Neodiprion lecontei: one gene and its partner. The protein of the gene in region 1 purifies or fractionates together with the protein of each later gene. This does not show direct contact. Links are inferred from orthologs where the notes say so. Each region holds a gene or a part of one and is shown on either strand. Other genes may lie near its edges. The genes, in order: ribonuclease P protein subunit p29 and ribonucleases P/MRP protein subunit POP1.

The links.
Region 2: the proteins of ribonuclease P protein subunit p29 (region 1) and ribonucleases P/MRP protein subunit POP1 purify together in Homo sapiens (affinity purification with mass spectrometry; 5 studies listed by BioGRID and IntAct, counting the BioPlex papers as one, with this or other methods). This does not show direct contact. The link is inferred for Neodiprion lecontei from reciprocal best matches to the Homo sapiens genes POP4 and POP1.

The regions. Positions count from the first base shown.
Region 1 is NC_060262.1:35,014,028-35,022,426, reverse strand, and holds ribonuclease P protein subunit p29, read left to right. Parts: upstream 1-3,878; 5' UTR 3,879-4,079; coding exon 4,080-4,131; exon of another isoform or gene 4,132-4,275; coding exon of another isoform or gene 4,276-4,282; intron 4,283-4,371; coding exon 4,372-4,511; intron 4,512-4,582; coding exon 4,583-4,973; intron 4,974-5,267; coding exon 5,268-5,404; 3' UTR 5,405-6,837; downstream 6,838-8,399. Other genes in the region: glutathione synthetase, read left to right, coding at 1-304, 444-868; required for meiotic nuclear division protein 1 homolog, read left to right, coding at 2,235-2,454, 2,592-2,949, 3,143-3,337; clathrin heavy chain, read right to left, coding at 7,540-7,673, 7,882-7,957, 8,102-8,324. UniProt on the Homo sapiens protein: Component of ribonuclease P, a ribonucleoprotein complex that generates mature tRNA molecules by cleaving their 5'-ends.
Region 2 is NC_060264.1:26,745,770-26,755,183, reverse strand, and holds ribonucleases P/MRP protein subunit POP1, read left to right. Parts: upstream 1-2,928; 5' UTR 2,929-3,168; coding exon 3,169-3,292; intron 3,293-3,573; coding exon 3,574-5,028; intron 5,029-5,257; coding exon 5,258-6,303; 3' UTR 6,304-6,790; downstream 6,791-9,414. Other genes in the region: 2-iminobutanoate/2-iminopropanoate deaminase, read right to left, coding at 369-446, 765-820, 916-984, 1,253-1,413, 2,585-2,652; acyl-protein thioesterase 1, read right to left, coding at 8,053-8,100, 8,239-8,403, 8,479-8,725, 8,883-8,930, 9,339-9,404. UniProt on the Homo sapiens protein: Component of ribonuclease P, a ribonucleoprotein complex that generates mature tRNA molecules by cleaving their 5'-ends. Also a component of the MRP ribonuclease complex, which cleaves pre-rRNA sequences.

The DNA of each region.
Region 1 (8,399 bases):
CGTAGAACACTGAGCGAGCTAGCTGTTGAAGCACGTCTCGGTCCCAAAAAAGAGCTGATTGTTGGAGAACAAACCGTCGCCGTTGTCTACTTCAGATGTGGCTATGAACCGAGTCAATATCCCACTGAGAAAGAGTGGGATGTAAGATTACTTATAGAAAGATCTTTAACAATCAAATCCCCATCAATTCAATATCATCTAGCTGGTGCAAAAAAAGTTCAACAAGCTCTGGCCAAGCCTGGAGTTCTCGCCAGATTTCTGAAGGACGAGGAGACAGTTCAGCAAATCAGAGGAATATTCACTGGTAAATATTATCAAAATTAGATAGCATACTTTTACACTAATGTTGTGGAATAATAATCAGTAAAATTACGACTGCATCGGTTTAAAGAATGGTCACTGAATCGATCATTTTAATCTGTTATTGATTCAAAATTTTCCAGGTCTTTATGCTTTGGATTTTGATGAACACGGGGAAAATGCAATAGACATGGGGATAGCAAATCCTGAACGCTTTGTTTTGAAACCGCAGCGAGAAGGTGGTGGAAATAATGTTTATGGAAATAACATAAAAACCGCACTAGAATCCATGAAGGACCAGCAAGAGAGATCGGCATGGATCTTGATGGATAGAATCCAACCACCGTTGCAAAGAAACTATCAAATACGAGCAGGAAGTGATACAGATACAGAAATGAAGGAAGTCGTTTCGGAATTGGGCATATTTGGTGTATTGATCGGCGATGAAAAGAATATTATCATTAACAGACAAGTTGGTCACATGCTTCGAACAAAATTGGCCAGTGCTGATGAAGGCGGTGTTGCGTCAGGATTAGGGGCTTGTGATAGTCCCTATTTAACTGACTAGTTGAAATGCACATGTAATACCATCGTTGTTAATTATCACCTGATTTTGTACTTAGCAGTCAAGAACTAAGAGAACAACTACTGATGAAAATCTGACAAATGATTGTAATTTACGCCTAAAAATTATTTTATACGAAGAATAGGCTTATTTAGCATTTAATGTGACAATAACTCATCCCTGTGCCACACATTCTATTTATATGAATATATTTTCGATGATACTTTATCCAACGCTTCCTAATCAGCCAATTGTCGGAACTCGCCAGAGAAGTATGGAGTAATAAAATAATATATTTCTGGACTAGTAATCCAGAGTGATCACTTGTACTACGTACTAAGTTTAACCTACCATCCTTTTCTTAGATACGTCTAAATTTACTTTATGGTGTGATATTTTCTACTATTACTTATAGTCATATTGTATATTGGAATAAGTCTTTATGTTATATAAACAGGGGGATAAAGTTCTGAGAACCCATACATCCAATTAATTTGAAATTTTGTCACGAATGTTATAGTAAAAATACCCGCAAATATGAATTTCACGGTCAAAACTCACAAAAACGAATTTAAAAAAAGTTTTTCTATGTTATTTCGATAAGTGTTGATCTGAGAAAAAAATGTTTTCTACAAAATTTGTAGCGTATAAAAAGATTGATCTTATACCTATGTTCCAAACAGTTTTTGTTTGAAATAATTATTTTCTCGTTCAGGAAAATTAGGATAATGCTTCAATATGTACGTTATTATGCATCTGTCATAAGGAGACCCAACTTATTCTAACCTTTGGTCTGCGATAGTCACCAATCCTAGTGGTAAAGTGTGTAAATAGAAAAAAAATCGAAACTAATGGACTTTTGGCAAAACGTACTTATTGGAGCATTATCCCATTTTTTCCAAAAAAAAAAGATTTCAGACAAAAACTGTGTAGAACATAAAAGATCAATCTTTTTATAGGCTACAGCTTTTGTAGAAATTTTTCTTTCTACGATCACCGCGTATCGGAATAAAATAGAGAAACTTTTTAAAAATCAATTTTTGTGAGTTTTGACCATGAAAATCAAATTGGCGGGTATTTTCACTATCATATTCTGATCAGTGAGCCAAAATACATGGGCATTCGAAATTCCAAATTGATCGGTATGGGCTTTTCGGAACTATACCAAAACAGGGTGCTGAACCAAAAAATGAAGTAAAATTCACAATGTCACATTTACCTAGTCTTTTTACACATGTTATTTATATCGCAAAAGCAGAAGAATAATAAAAGAATTGCAACAGAGCATTATCTATGAAGAGGAAAAAGCCACTAAACCATAGACTGCTAGTAATCGTTCAATATATGTTTTTTTGTTATTACATTCCAGCAATGCCAGATGTGATTCACGCAGTAGCTAAATATGAGGTAGAAACAGAGCCCCGTGAAGTCTACTTTTTCCGAGAAGGAACTGTTGTTTTTTGGAATATGTCAGAACTTGAAAGTGGAAATTTACTGAGATTCTTGAAATCCTATGAACAACATAGTTATGCTGATAAACTGGTGCAGTCAGAGAGTGAACTAATGCTGTACACGCATTTAGAATCTAGGTAAGATATCAGAATGGTTGAAGTGTTTTTGATTGCGCCGATCTTTATTCCAATTTGTATTGCCGATTGATATAAGTCCTAATTAACGGATGCTCAATGTATGTACCTGACAACCTGATTTTTGGTATACGTTACAGTAAAAAGAGCCATTTGAAAGAAGGAAATATCATGTTGGCACCAAATGCCACAGACTTGGATAAATACACATTCTCAAATGCAATTGCACTCTCTGTCAAACTTGGCATATGGGAAGCATCACTAGACCGTTATGTGGATTCAATTGCTTTTGTTACTGATGATCTGAAATCTGGTCGTCCAATAAAAATGAGCAGAGAAGAAGTTCTGCGAAAGCAAGGCGAATTATTTGCGCTCAGGCATATGATCAACTTGAGTTCCGACCTTTTAGATACCCCAGATTTTTACTGGGAAAGAGATGAATTGGAAAATTTATTCCAACAAACGTGTAGTTATTTCAGTATTGCCAAACGTACTCGGGTATGTGAAATTATAGTAATACACAATATGTCAATCAATTTAATTTCGTACTAGCGAAATATAAAACTGCTTAAACATTTCTCCATTGTTAACGAATTCGAATTGAAATCTTAGATTACCTTTGTATTATAAATTCAATTATGGATCTGACCAATATTTTATATAGAATAATATACATGATTTCTGTCCACAGGTGATGAATGAGAAACTGAATCATTGCGTTGAACTTGTAGAACTTTTGTCATCCCATCTTAGCGATCGTCATCACGTTCGTTTAGAATGGATGATAATTGTATTAATTATGGTTGAGGTAGTATTTGAAATACTACATTACATCGATCGTTATTTTGCCGATCAACCCCAAACATCTGAAGTGTTGACCTCCTAGTTACACTCTAATATCAATTAAAATATCTATGTATATATATATATATATATATATCATTTTCAGCGAGTAATTTCTACAATAGCAGGTTATAAATACTGTAAATATATAGATAATTTGCGTTTATAAAGTATAAATAGTTACTTATTTGTTATTTGCCACATATGTTGTCTTTACAATAATAAGAGAAACAAATGTATAAGGAATTGAAAACTGTTGTAATGATGATTAGATTTATTTTAGTTATCAGGCTCATGCATTATAGGGGCATTGCCTAATTTTAATTTTGAGAACTTTCGTATTGACTTTTCAATGCTGTGTAACATGTGTTATCTGTTACACAAAATAAAAACAAAGTAGAAAAATAAAATTCTCTACCCTAAATACATTTTTTGATAGAAATAGCTGCAGATTCCAAGAATATGAATATTTTTCGAAAAGAATTTTTAAGGCGACTCGATGTTTCAAATTTTCAAATCGAGATGAATCGAAAACGTAAACATGTGTCGCTGCATGTCAGATCCAAAGGTCAGATCGACCTAGGTATATGAAGCTAGCCTGTGAACTTCGAATTTCTTAAAAATTTTCACGAAATTCCTATGTTGCAGGCCAACTTTACTTTCCTGCCTTTCTTATAAATTGTCATAAACTACACCATGTTATAAACCATAAACGTCAATTACTCGTCAACTTACCATGTGCGTGCGATGTGCACGTGACAGCTGCGTTTGATTCGTGATTGCTTATGCTAACTAGAACTCAAGTGGGACCTTATGATCTGTCATTTCTGTTCTTTGGTAGGCATTCGTGATTCAAGTTTTGATCACACATTATTTATTTCGATTTTATATCGTAGGAATTAGAGAGAGTTTATAGGGAGGGGAAACACAGTGAGTTTAGGTTAGATTGCAGCAAGAATCTTCGGAAAATTTATTGAAACCATGTCGGGTAAGATGCCTTTGTTGAACGTTTTAATTAGCTGCAATACAGAATTGTTCATATTCAGATTCAACTATCCGTAATTTGTATTCTTCCAGACAACGTGTGTCTTCAACTTCCAGTGTCAGTGGTTAACCGTGCAACAACATCGACGGATCGCAGTGAATATCTTTTAAATCTTTTAGAAAATATCTTACCACCCTCAGATACTAAATCAGTTAATGAAGAATTGAAAAAGGTAATAAGAATAAAAATTTTACTTCCTTTGTTCCATTCATCAGTCATCTTTTAACATTTTTCACTTTTCAGACATTCACTTTCAACAAATACAGAACAAAGCATGTTCGCCGTAAACCAAAGAAGGTAACATTTTTAACAGCCAGAAAAAGATCAGAACTTGGCTTAAATAAATTGGATAACAGGATTAACTTGAAATACGTTGATGCATTAGCATTGAACCAGCTGTGGCTAGAATACATGCGACAAATGCTTGGTGTTAACAATTTCACTGATTTACCGCAAGGACCAGTCGAACCAAATTGGGACAACATTGGTCAACAATTGCTAAAGGCTGACTTCCATGGAGCAAAAATTGTTGTCATTAGATCTAAATGCCCAAGTTTGGTAGGCATTCATGGCATTGTATTGCAAGACACTAAATGTACCTTCAGAGTTATTGGAGAGGATAGTATTATCCGAAGTAAGACAACTCTGAATTTTAGCATTGAAATCTAATTCTATTGGAAACAAAACTTCTGATTTTTATTGAATAATTTATCAAGATTTGTGCCTAAAGTTACCATGCATACAAAATTTGCACAAGCCTACAAAAAAATGTTAAGACATCCTCATTAGTTACATGCACTTAAGTATATTATTCGATGAGAACGAAAAGGGATAAGAAAAGATATGCGATTAGCAGTATACAATGAAAGATTTTAAAGTTGCTTTCTGTAAACCATCATGAAAATATTAACGCTTTTTTTTCTTGTAGCAATTCCAAAAGACACAGCTGTATTCAAGATATGTTTGGGCAATGTGAATTTACAATTGTTTGGCAGAGAGTTGTGTGTCAGACCTGCTGAGAGATCAGTGAAAAAATTTAAAAGTGCTCGTGTACCTGATTTATAACATAATTACGATTATGAAAATACAAATATTGCTAAAATTTTCTTGAGTACTTTTAATGACTTATCAAATATCACAAATGAGGCTTTCCCATAGTCAAGAGATACGTGCATAAAATTGTATCTTTAACAAGTACGTTGTGCATTTTAATTTTTAATTTTTTTATAATTTTTATAAAAAATGTTTAGTGACGAATATCATTTGTTACTGGTTAATTAATATGGGAATGTGTATGATAAGAAAATGAAAATATGTTCGTCAAACAGGCATTTGTTTATTTCTCACTGTGCATATCCACTTGACACAGTTGTTATATCTTACAGCAAAAACAATTGAATGCAATCCAGTTCTTCGATCATCCATTCTCGATAATTACCTTTTGTATCATTTATTCATTTTTTTTTTTTTCAATAATATTAATTCATATCATATTTTTGTCTACTACTTACATGTTACACTAAATACCAATATAATATATAATAATATAATTATATATTTATAATATATATGTATAATTACTAATAATCCTTGCTTTTTTGTTTGCTTTTTGCAATAATTAGTTATAATAGTATTTCAAAATATTCAAATAATCATGATATTATAATAACAATTTGCGATGCGGATTGGTTAAATCCTTATTCAAATAATAAATCACTAACCACTTCATTTCCAAAAATTTCATTCACGATCAATTTGATTTAGCTATGTTGAAAAGATAAGTGCAATGATGGAGTTTTGGGATTGTCGCGTACCTTTCGCACGCACCACCAGTTCCTAACGAATTCTTACAATTTATTTACCATAATTTAAAGGATCAGTAAACCAATTACACAGGCCTGAAGAATCAGAAACGCAACTAAGAATTCTACCCTAATCGATCCCTCACGAGAAATAATTAGTGTATTTGAGTTTAAAGCATCCCTCAACATGCAGTTAATAATTAATAACGATGCTCTTGTCATGAGATTTGGATTAATGTTCATATACCCACCGAATCAGACTCGTGTTACGTGTTCACTGTCCCATTCAATAATCAGGGGCAATCTACAATTATCACTGCGTTACGTTAAGGCGTATAACTTATTGAAACAATTTTTTTCCAAATAATCAACGTGTTAATCATGCCGTCAGTACACTTTTCAACGGATCAGTTAAACGTACACAGTATGCTGGCAAAAGATAGGTATTTTGCGACGTACCACTGTAAATATTTATTCAGCTACTATAGAACGGTAGCTTCCGAATTTAATTTAAATGACAAATCAGCCACTATTTCTATGAATCATCAATAAAATGTTAATTCAACATTTTTTTTACAGGTTAAATGATTGCTATTGAAGTGTGGTGGACAAATGCTATCGCAGTATTAACATCATTTAAAAATCAATTGATATTCTTGCTCCTGTCATCCATGCAATTCCGATTATTAAGGAAGACACTTTCCTTAAAAAATTTTAAGCCTATTGTATTCAGATCAACTGTTAGCACAGCGTAAACTGGAGCTTATTAAATAATTCGGAACGATTTTTAAATCGTGTCATTACTTCGGGCATATCATTTTTTTAATAGCCATGTAAAAAATTCTGCCATTAAACAACTGCGGATATGTCAAGGACATATAATTATAGCCCCCCTCAACGTTCTTGATTGCCCCGGTAAATTGTCAATTCGATACTATTGTTACTCAATTATGTAAAGCAGCCTAATGAACATACCATATACATATTATATACTTTATTTTTTCAATTATTCATAAATCCTCTAATTAATACTAATTTTTGTTGCGCCCACAAAATGCTTTTTTTTAGGAATAACTGTATTAATAATTATTTTTCATTTTTTTTTTTTTTTTTTTTTACATGAGACGTTTTTTGAGATTGAATAGTTGACAATTATTACAGCGGTAGATGATGTTTTATAGAATACATGTTTCTAGTTTTACTAGTTTATTAATTTTCTCCTTCATTGAATTCTTTTTTCCTTTACAACTACTAGCTTGACATTGCAAGATATTTGTCAGACAGCAGATTTCTGACGGTTGACTGTAACGTATCAATATTAATGGAACCTTGCTCTAGCTAAACCTTATAGAAAAGTAGGTATTGTTGATCATTGTGGAACGTGTTGTGAAATGTGTCTCACATACCGTAGCCCTGATAGGCTGCAGTAGGAGGTGCATAAACTCCTTGACCCGGAGGTGCATAAACACTTTGAGGTGCGTAACCTGGTGCCATCATTCCTGGTCCTGCTGTCAACATCAACTGTGGCTCAGCTGTAATTAAATTATAGCGTATTTTACAAATATTTTTGACACCTACCATTAATTTGAAAAACTTCCCGATACAAAATTACATTTCATTGATATCAATAAGAATCGTGTACAAGTATTAACAATTTTTTAGAAAAAAGGAGCGTTTAAATACCAGAACACATGAACTTACCATTTCAAATCATTTAAATTAAATTAAATTAACACTTACGCATGATCATTGGTTTGTGCTCCTGTTGATCTGTTTCTTCCAAGCGCTGGCTTTCAGCTTCTTCGAGTTTATCAACCTAAACGAGGGATTACAAATGAAAATCACAAAACAAAAAGACAAAAAAAAAAAAAAAAATGTGAGTGACGTACATAATAGTATTTGTTTAAACTGATGAGCTGTTTTTATAATTTTCATGGAAATAGTTTCAATGCTACAATACCTTGGTGATGTACTCTCGGGCAACTTGAATTAGATAAGGCATTGCGAAGTGAAGGATTCTGTGCCTCCAGGCAAGTTCCAAAATTACATCGGGATGAAGCAAGTCGTAACAGTAGAAGAGGCAAGCTGCAAAACAATCTTTTGATCCTCTCTCTAAGAACCATTCTAGCAGTTCCTCAGCTACCTCTGCATTCCTAGACTCCGCAGCATACTCCATAGCATCTCTAAAATTTAGTGAAGCTTTCAAAATGTAGCAACTACAGGGTTAACAAAAATATTTCAAACTGAAGCAGCCTCTC
Region 2 (9,414 bases), on another chromosome or scaffold:
ACATGTTTGACGACGTTACCGACGATACTTGGGTGCGTGGTGTTTGTCAGGTTGCTTGCGATCATTTGTAAAATGTGGCATCTGAAACACTCATTTCGAATCTCATTGCGCGGCATGAGGATTGAGGATTTTGTGAGAAATGTTTCCCTATAACGGGGGAAAAAATTCCCAAAACTTACAGTACATACATCATTTTTGTTATTAGAATGATTATTATCGTTATTGTTGTTGATCTTTTTTTTTTTTGTATACAGTTTATTACTTTTTCTTGGAACTACGAAATGCAGAAAAATAAAGCCTAGGAAGATGACGTTCGAAAAAATTCTGCGTCAGATTTTCCTCCATATTCAGAGCTTTGCTGATTTCAGTCAACTGGCACTTGAAGACCCACCGACCGTTTTCACTTCACCAGTCAATGCAATTGCCTCGATTTCAACCTTCGCCCCCTGAAAACGAGTGATCGCACTTTTTGTTAATTTTCATGAATCTACCTTGATTATGAATCATGAATTCATGATCGGTTGCACCCCACATTTTTTGAACAATTGGATATTTAGATTAAAGGAATACCGTACAGTAGTACCTGGATTAATCGAATGAACGATTTTTACAGAATCAATTTTTGTCAACCCTAAGAATATCATAACTATGGTATACAATTCTTACCGTTACGGGATACATGTTGTAAAAAGCAAGCATGCTATTTACCGAAAACGAGATAATATTACTCAAACGAGTGACAAATTTTCAAATAAAGATCTTACCAATGGTAGCTTCCCAACCTGGAATGTGGACCTTGCTGGATAATCCTTTGTGAAAACTGTAAAAAAAGCAAATTAAACGACCATTAACTAATTGTCGATTAGAGCATATTTGTGTTTAAAAAAATACTGTTATCAAAATAAACAAACTTACATTCCTTATAAACTTCGTTTACAGCAGAAAAATCATCGATACTGTTGAGCAGGATAGTCGTCTTTATAACTGTAGCAATAAAACATGAGAAATTTTTTAATTTATGGTTTCTCAACTGCTGCCGTATGGTCTCGAAACGAACGACGTATCGCCGGCATACAGGCAATTAGAGTTACATATGAGGTACTCCAACTAGAGGTGAGTAATGTAACTTCGGTTGCCTATCTGCCGGCGAAACACCGTTCGCGTCGAGATCGGTCACCGAAAACTGATTGTATTTTATAATTATCTTTGTATTGAGCGGTTACATATTTAATGTAAAGTAATAGATAAAAACCTTTCTCAAAGTCGGAACCCGCCTCCTTTAAAATACACCCCATATTGACGAGTGCCTGACGAGCTTCTCCGGCTGCCCCACCATCGACCAGCTTCCCAGAATCCTTATCAAGCCCAAGTACTCCAGAAAGATAAACGGTTCGGTCGACTAGGACAGCTTGACTATTAACAATAAGAAAAACAATGATTAGTATCTCAAAAAAAATTTGCAAGTGGAACAAAAAATTTTGATTTTTGTTACGTGCATCACCAATGTTTGAGCAATACAATTATCAACGTAGCATTGTTATCTACACACCGATATGCAGTAAATGGCGTGCAGAAAAGGAAAAATAGTGAGATAACTAAACATCATATTTAGACGTATCCGTTCTTAATAAAGAACAAGTAATGACAATAATTTGGCAGAAATCAAATAAACTGTATTGAATATATGTAATGTAAGTAATATGATATTGATATTCATTTTAATTCTTTTTATTTGTGATCGAAAACAGATTATTGATGCGCTTTTCGCACCGGAGTCGTCCGTAAGATGTGAATACTATGTATTATAAGAAATCGTAACTTGCACGATCAGTAAATGAATAACGAAAAACATTCGTTAGGTAAACATAGAGGTATCCTGATATTTTAACTCACTTATAAGGGCCAACGGGTTTAGGCGCTGCTGGACAAGTAATAATTTTCCGTATTATAGACGCCATGTTCTTTCAGGGCAAACCGCAGTACACTAAGAGTATAAGCGACTGACCGGCTTTCTCCAATACCGAATTATCTTTTTATTTGTATAGAGGTATAATTCAATCAGTCGTACATATACGTCCGCGCATGCATGTGGAATATATACATTTTTCAAGTAGTGTTATGTATTCGTGCACGATTGTGTGCAGCTCACAAGCATTGTAAATGACGACGTTTGATACACTCTGTGAACTATGACCTGTGTGCAATGGCAGTGGCGTACACATTCAGCTATGCTAGTGAACGTACAGCAATTAGTAAAGCTACTAATACCACGTGATGGAACAAATTATCAGCTATCAAATATCGGCATATTTCTGGAGTGCTTGCGAATTGATTCGTATAATTCAACATGTCCGTACAGAATTCTTCCATCCCGAAATATCACAAATTAAATTTGAAAGATATGTCATATGATGAACTATCTCAGCTCCATAACTTCATGAGTGTATGTTAAACTTTGTAGAAAAACTTTTTGAGAGAAATCTCGACCCCTAAAATTTTAGACAAATATAAGTGACTGAGATTTTGTCTGTCCTTGTTTTAGTCTTTGATTTCTTTATTAAAGTGCGCTGTAATTACGACTCACTTATATGGTCCGGCCGATTTTGGTGCCCTTGTAGTTGATATAATTTTTCGAATAATTTTCATCGCCATTATTACTGTATGATATACGCAATATTGTCAACCTTAGGTATGAGGTTCGTCGCGTAAGCTAGTACGGTGATATAATGATGACTGATTCGGACGGAGTCGCAATTTTCAATACGCGCAAATTGTAACGTAATATTCTGCTATTGTTCGTGCGTATCATTTATTTCTATTCATGTTATCAGTTCAAAAGAAAAATCGAAGGCCGATCAATGATCAACATTCCTAACACTGCAATTCCAATACTGGAGATTGTGAATAACTACGCAGACATGAGAAACTAGAACTGTAATTTTCTTGCCTGCGCCTTAGTGTTAGACATCTAGGTATACACCAGAACAACATACACACGTGGTCGAAGATGAATGATACTCTTTCTGTCACGTGGTTCGAGCAAGACTGAACATAACCTCAAATCAAATTTCGAAATATCGGCTCGTAGTGTTCGTTGGAAGGTACAAATGCTTGGATCAGAATCCAATTACAATTTCTCGTACAAGAATTGTCACGGAAACTTCAAGTATGGCGGAAAAGGCTCAATTCGACATATTCCTCGGTGGATCCCAGGAATTACCTCCCGAAGCACATATCATGAAACTGGCATCGGCGAGAGCGAATGAAATCGCCGCGATGACTTATTCCATAGGTAAAATATTTTCCCGTCCATTATAAAATAAACCTAACCTAATCTAGATATTGTTCCCTCTCCAATTCCTGCTTTTGTTTAAATGTCTCTGGTGCTTCATAATTCAGCCACCTTGACATGGAATATGTATCTTTCCCGGATGTATACCCAGGTTTTTCTTTCTTTTATTTCGTCCCTCATTTCCCCAACAATGCCATTAACTTGATAATACTTGAGAGTGTTAATTGCGCGGGAATTTTGAATTTTTATTGAAGAATGACCATTATGCCTTGATATTGCAGATAATCCTCAACAGACAAAATTAATATTCCAAAAACTACCGATGCATATGCGTCGCAGAATAATGTCCCACAATGCAAAGCGTATGCCAAGGAGACTACGAGAGATGCATATTCACCAAATGTCAAAGTCAGGTTTGCCACCCAAAACAAAAAGACCCTCCCGAAAGTACCGGCGAAGGCCACAGAACCTGATCGCAGAGTACAAGCGTAGGCAGGTAAAGAATGCCTGGCTTGAAACACACGTGTGGCACGCAAAAAGGTTTCACATGGTTGAAAAATGGGGTCACAGGCTCCCTGAGCACTCAAATGATCGCAGTTTTAGAGCGAGTTACAGAGCAGTAGCAAAACACTGCCTGCTACAGGACATATCTTACTATTCTTGCATTCAGCTAACTGGACCGATTAATGCGCTGAAAAAAATGCTCAAGAATCACTGCGATCCTGGCAACCTGAGCTTCACAGCAAAATCCTATATCCAGGGTAGCAGGGAGGGGAATCTTATGTTCTACAGGAAGAACGGATATCCAACATCACCTGTGGGAACTGTAGAGTTCATATGGAGGCCTGGTAACTCTGAACTAAAAACATTATGGATGTGGGCGCATCCTGCATTTTATCAGCTAATATTGTCGGAGATTTGTAACAGCTTCAAGTTTAATCTTGAGTCTCCGTGCCATTCCTCAGATTCAGAGTATTCGGGTGCTGATAATTGCAGATTAGTATTACTGAAGAATTCCTTGAACAGGTTCAGACTTTGCGGTCCATTGAGTCTGGCAGTGCTCACGACTGCCCTACGTCTGCCAGAGATAGGAAAAATTCTTGACGAAGTGAGAAAATCTGAGGGAGAAGGAGATGAAGTGAAGTCACATACTACCATGGAAACAGATTCACCAAAATGTGGTGATTCGGATAGTGATGTTGAAATCGTTCAGGTTTCTAAGAAGGAAATTGAACCAATGGACGTCGAGAGCAATACTCGTATTGATAGAGATGACAACAACGAATCACTTGAGACTACTGCCCGATCATGGTATTCGGAGTATTATAGGGACTCAGAGAACATTCAGTCACTGCAAGTTCAAAAAGAGGTTTTTGAACATCTGAGGGATCTTAATTCACCCAACCAGCTTCCCCCATGTGCAGTTATGGCTTTCACAGTTTTGGATCCAAGATATTTCGTCCCGACTAAACGAAATAAAGCGCAGACAAATGCAAGGACCATTGAGACGATTCCTGTTCCTCCCACACTTATTAATGTTAGTGCAATATGGGAACCCAGAATCAGAAAATCATCGGTGAAAAACTTCAAGACTACAAATGAAATAAACAAACTGAGAAGTGAAAATTTAGTTCCCGGTATTGGCAATGACGATAAATATGACCAAAGCTATATTGCCAAAGTACCTATTCTTCTTATTCAGAGGCCTGGATGCGGCTATGGAGAAAAAAGTCTTGGTAAGCCATGCAAATTGCATTCATTCCATCGTTATTTAAAATTTATCTAGTCATTCTGGATGTAGTTATGACAGTTTTTGAGAATGTGACTTGTGAGCTTCTAGTATTATAACAGAAAGACTGAAAGGCAAGTAAAAATTTAAGTCCCAAGTGTATTTCTTCTATCAAACTCAAATTTTGAATTGGCATTTCAAATATTCGATTGTTTAACTGGATTAATTATTTTCAGGATTCAGTTCTGGAATCGACGTAATTTTACCATCTGGTTGGGCAACTCCGTTTTGGATCTCGTTTATTTTTCGTTGTGCCAAACCAGGAGGTTTGAGGGAATCAACATCAATTATATTTGAAAATCTTAGGTTGAATTCGCCTGATTTTAATCCGCCAGATACAGAAGCATACATAAAAGAAGCTTCAGAAAGAAAGACTAGTCTAATGGAAAAGTATTTCAGATATCCTCCAAACAGGAGATCAAATTACGTGAAACTTGGTATTTCTAGTCCGTTCTATTGCGAGTGGAATTTACTTATCAAGGAATGGACAGATATGGCAACGTTCTATGTACTCAGAGATAAGAAACTGCTTCATTTAATACAAGAAAATATCTCTCATCAATTACCATTGAACCGGCATAAGAAGTATCAACAGCTTTGTGAATCAAGTTTCGACAAAACTGTGTTCAAAGACACTAATACGTTAATAACTGTAAAGATTGTCATAGAAAGCAAAGGGTGTCCCAGAGATTTTGCCATAATCTGCTTACCCCTCTCTGAGGATTTAGAAAAATTGGGCCAAAAAAGAACCTGGGAAGGGCCTGTAGCTAAGCTAAGAAAAGACCCCAACGAATCGATTAGAAAAACTTTGAGAAGGGGTCACTTGGCGCTATTGAAACGTTTGAGAAGACAAAGAGTAAAACAGCGGATTAAAATGGAGAGTAGTGATCACAGATCGGTTGAGCCAAAGCCCAGTTCCAGCATTGCGATGTCTAAAATAATTTCGCGAAAAAAGGCTCAAAGTATTGTTGACCTGCAGGCTGAAAAGATGAAGAATCTCTATTTGCCAAATTGCAAAACGATACGAAACTCTTGCGATCGAGAAGTTATGGGATACGTGGTTAAAGGAGACTTCAGTTTTACCGAATCAAAGGGAATCGGACTGGGATACGTAACACTTCCCTCTCTGTTTAGCCTAATTAAGCAGAAAAGTAACGTAGTTCTGATCAGAAACACAAGATCTAGACAATACAGACTCGCCAGACTTAGTATACTGACATGAATAACTATTGACCTGTAAATATATTGTGAATGATCAATTAACTTCAGGAGAGTAACGTACAAATGTATATAAATCAACGATTTCTTCTGGAAATTCTTAAATAGCGCATCAAGGTAATTGTAGAAACCATTTGAATGTGGCTCTAAGAGATTTATTTGAATACCTTATTTTGCTAAAACTATTACATTGTGACAGGCTATGCGCTAATTATTATGTTTCATAAATAAAATTATCGCCTACCATAGACGGAAGTATATAGTATATTGGGAAAAGAATCATGATTTTTAAAGTGTAGAAGAAGAGAGTCCAAATTCTCATCAGTTATTTGCCAGTGCGATGTACAAACAATAAACGAACTGGCAGTTCTTGTCATTTGATATTATTATTACCAGTAGTTTCCCATTGCACGTTGAGCAATTGAAATTAAATCAACAAAGTAGACTTTTCCCGTTTACAAATCTAATGAAATAAAAGCCCGTGTTTAACAGGGCGTTTTAAAAAATCGTGCCTTCGTTTTATTTATGATTTTTATTTTATTATTTCGATCTTATATTCGCACATAGACATGTACGTACATGCAATAAAATACACAGGTACGCCTACATGTTACTATTTTATATCTACTAGTGCTTTCATTATTATTTTTTCTTCGTTTTGCCAGCAAAACTTAGCAGTCGTACTGTATACCTATTGCTACTATACAAGGTATTTGAAAGATAATACTTTTTTAACCACAATAAACAGTAATAACCCCGTGCTGGCGCTGTGAATCTATATCAGAAAACTTTGATCCAATTAACAGTAAGATTGCTATGTAGCAACTTTATTTAATGGTTCCAATGAGCATACTTCGAAATAAATTAAATAAGTACTGTAAAAATATATACTTTAGGTCTGAAAAACCTTCACCTTTGAATATCATTTTAAGAATTAGCAGGACTGCTGGTGGTGACCAAGCTATTTTGAAAAGTATTCGTTAATTTCTGTAAGTGAATATGTGTAGTTTCTAACACCGATTATAAGAAAGCATGGGGAAAAAGAGTCGAGGAATTCTTGCAAGTTTTTCGTTAACAAGATAATCAAAACAAGGTATTAATGAATAAATTTGGAAAGTAGTTTGTAAAACTTTGAGTAAGTTTAATGAAAAAAATTAACTAAATTGTTAGATGGGTACACATTACCTATATTAATTAATAAATGGAAAGATTAAACCGAGGTTTCGAGGCCAGAAAGCTTTTGCTCAATTGCTAGGATATTCTAATTATTTGACCTATGACAGGTATCTTTTTTAACTATAATACAGTGGGGTATATTTTAACAGGATCGTTTTATTTCATTACATTAAATAGTTCTGCGATTACTAAATCGACTCTTTAATTAAATTCAATTCTAAATTTGTTCTTCGTTAGAATAATTTTCTCAAATTTACATTCACGAATGTAAATTGCACGTTTTTCTTTTTTATTGCAACGTGTTAATAAAACGTCAAATTTTGAAGTAGCCAGTTTTCTACTGAATAGAATGGTAGCAATTACCATACCTGTCGACTACAATTCATTTTCGTATTGGTTTTTGATGTTTCCTATTCCATTTGTTTTTCTTCCCTAGTATGTTTAATTAACGACTAAAAATAACGTAGCATTGGAATTATTGATTTTATTTATAATATTCATCACTCTCAATAATAATACCAATAATAGTGATTATATTATTAGTACCATCATTAATTGATACAATTAATTTAGTTTATTATGGCTTGAGAACTTTTTCAACGAACATCTTCATATCGCGCATCTCCTGAAAATTTCAATCGCACGGAATCAATTGATTTCTCATGCTCAAACCTGTAGTACAACTATCTTCAATAAGCTGCACAGATTAAACATCGCGTGGAAAAATAGTAATACATAAAAAAACAAAAAATGGGATACTCACATCGTCGCAAGATGTGTGCATCATTCCTCGATACGTTTTAAACTCTGTATTGGTCATGAACTGCTTCAACAACGATGCAGTCATCTGGCCCCACTTGTATGGAACAATTGGATCGCAATCACCGTGGCACTGCAGCAACGGGACATTTTTATTGCCAACCGCACTCTGGAACAAGATGTAAGAAATGCACTGTGCAACTGCAGCTGATATAGCATCGTATTGCAATTTCTTTCAACATACGGCGGGGAACCTCTGATGCAAAGGGAGCCAAGCTGATAAAGCTATGACGCCTGCTAGAGGCTCTGGAAACGTGAGTGCACTATACATCGCCAGAGCTCCACCTTGACTAAATCCTCCGATAACGATTCTCTTCGTTGGTATACCAGCTGCGACCTCCTGAGCTATCAACGAGTGTACAACTTCTGCAGCCCTACGGATACCCTCTTCATCTTCTGGACCTGATGGATCGAGCGATCTCAGGTCAAACCTAAATTATTTAAAAATTTGAAAAGACATGGGAAATAACGCTGTACGTACCACTTTTCATTCTAGTGAAACATGAGGGAAACATAAATTACAAGTTCGCTGAAAAACAATATCAGAACATGAAATTGGCCAAACTTGTTGCAGTTATTCGATCTTACCACGAAGGCATCCGGAATCCGGCGTTCAACGTCACTGGCATAGTTGGCCTAAAAATCGAAAAAGGTGTTTTGAATTCTTGCTCTTCATAAATTCTTGTCATATGCTTCCGAAATTATTCATGTTAGTTAATTATCGACAAAAGACAGACTTACAAAAGGTTTGAACGGAACGTGTCCTAATTTCAACTTTAAAATTTATAAGTTTCTTAGGAGGGCATATCTATATAGTATAACACAATTCAATAGTAGAATTTGTTGATTGATTTCAAAGTACTACCTAATTTTCCTGGTAAATACATATGATTTTAGCATGGCTTGACATTACACAAGCATCATTCTCTTCTATCATACTACTATCTCTATTCTTGACTGCAGATTTTATACTTTAAACATGAAAAATGATTCAGGTATGAAGAAAAAAAAAATTGAACACGGTATATTAGATATCACACTCACGCAGTTGGACAAATTACTTTGACGTGAGGAGATCGCACAGATCCCATCGAGCTTGCCCATCCATGTCTGGAAAATC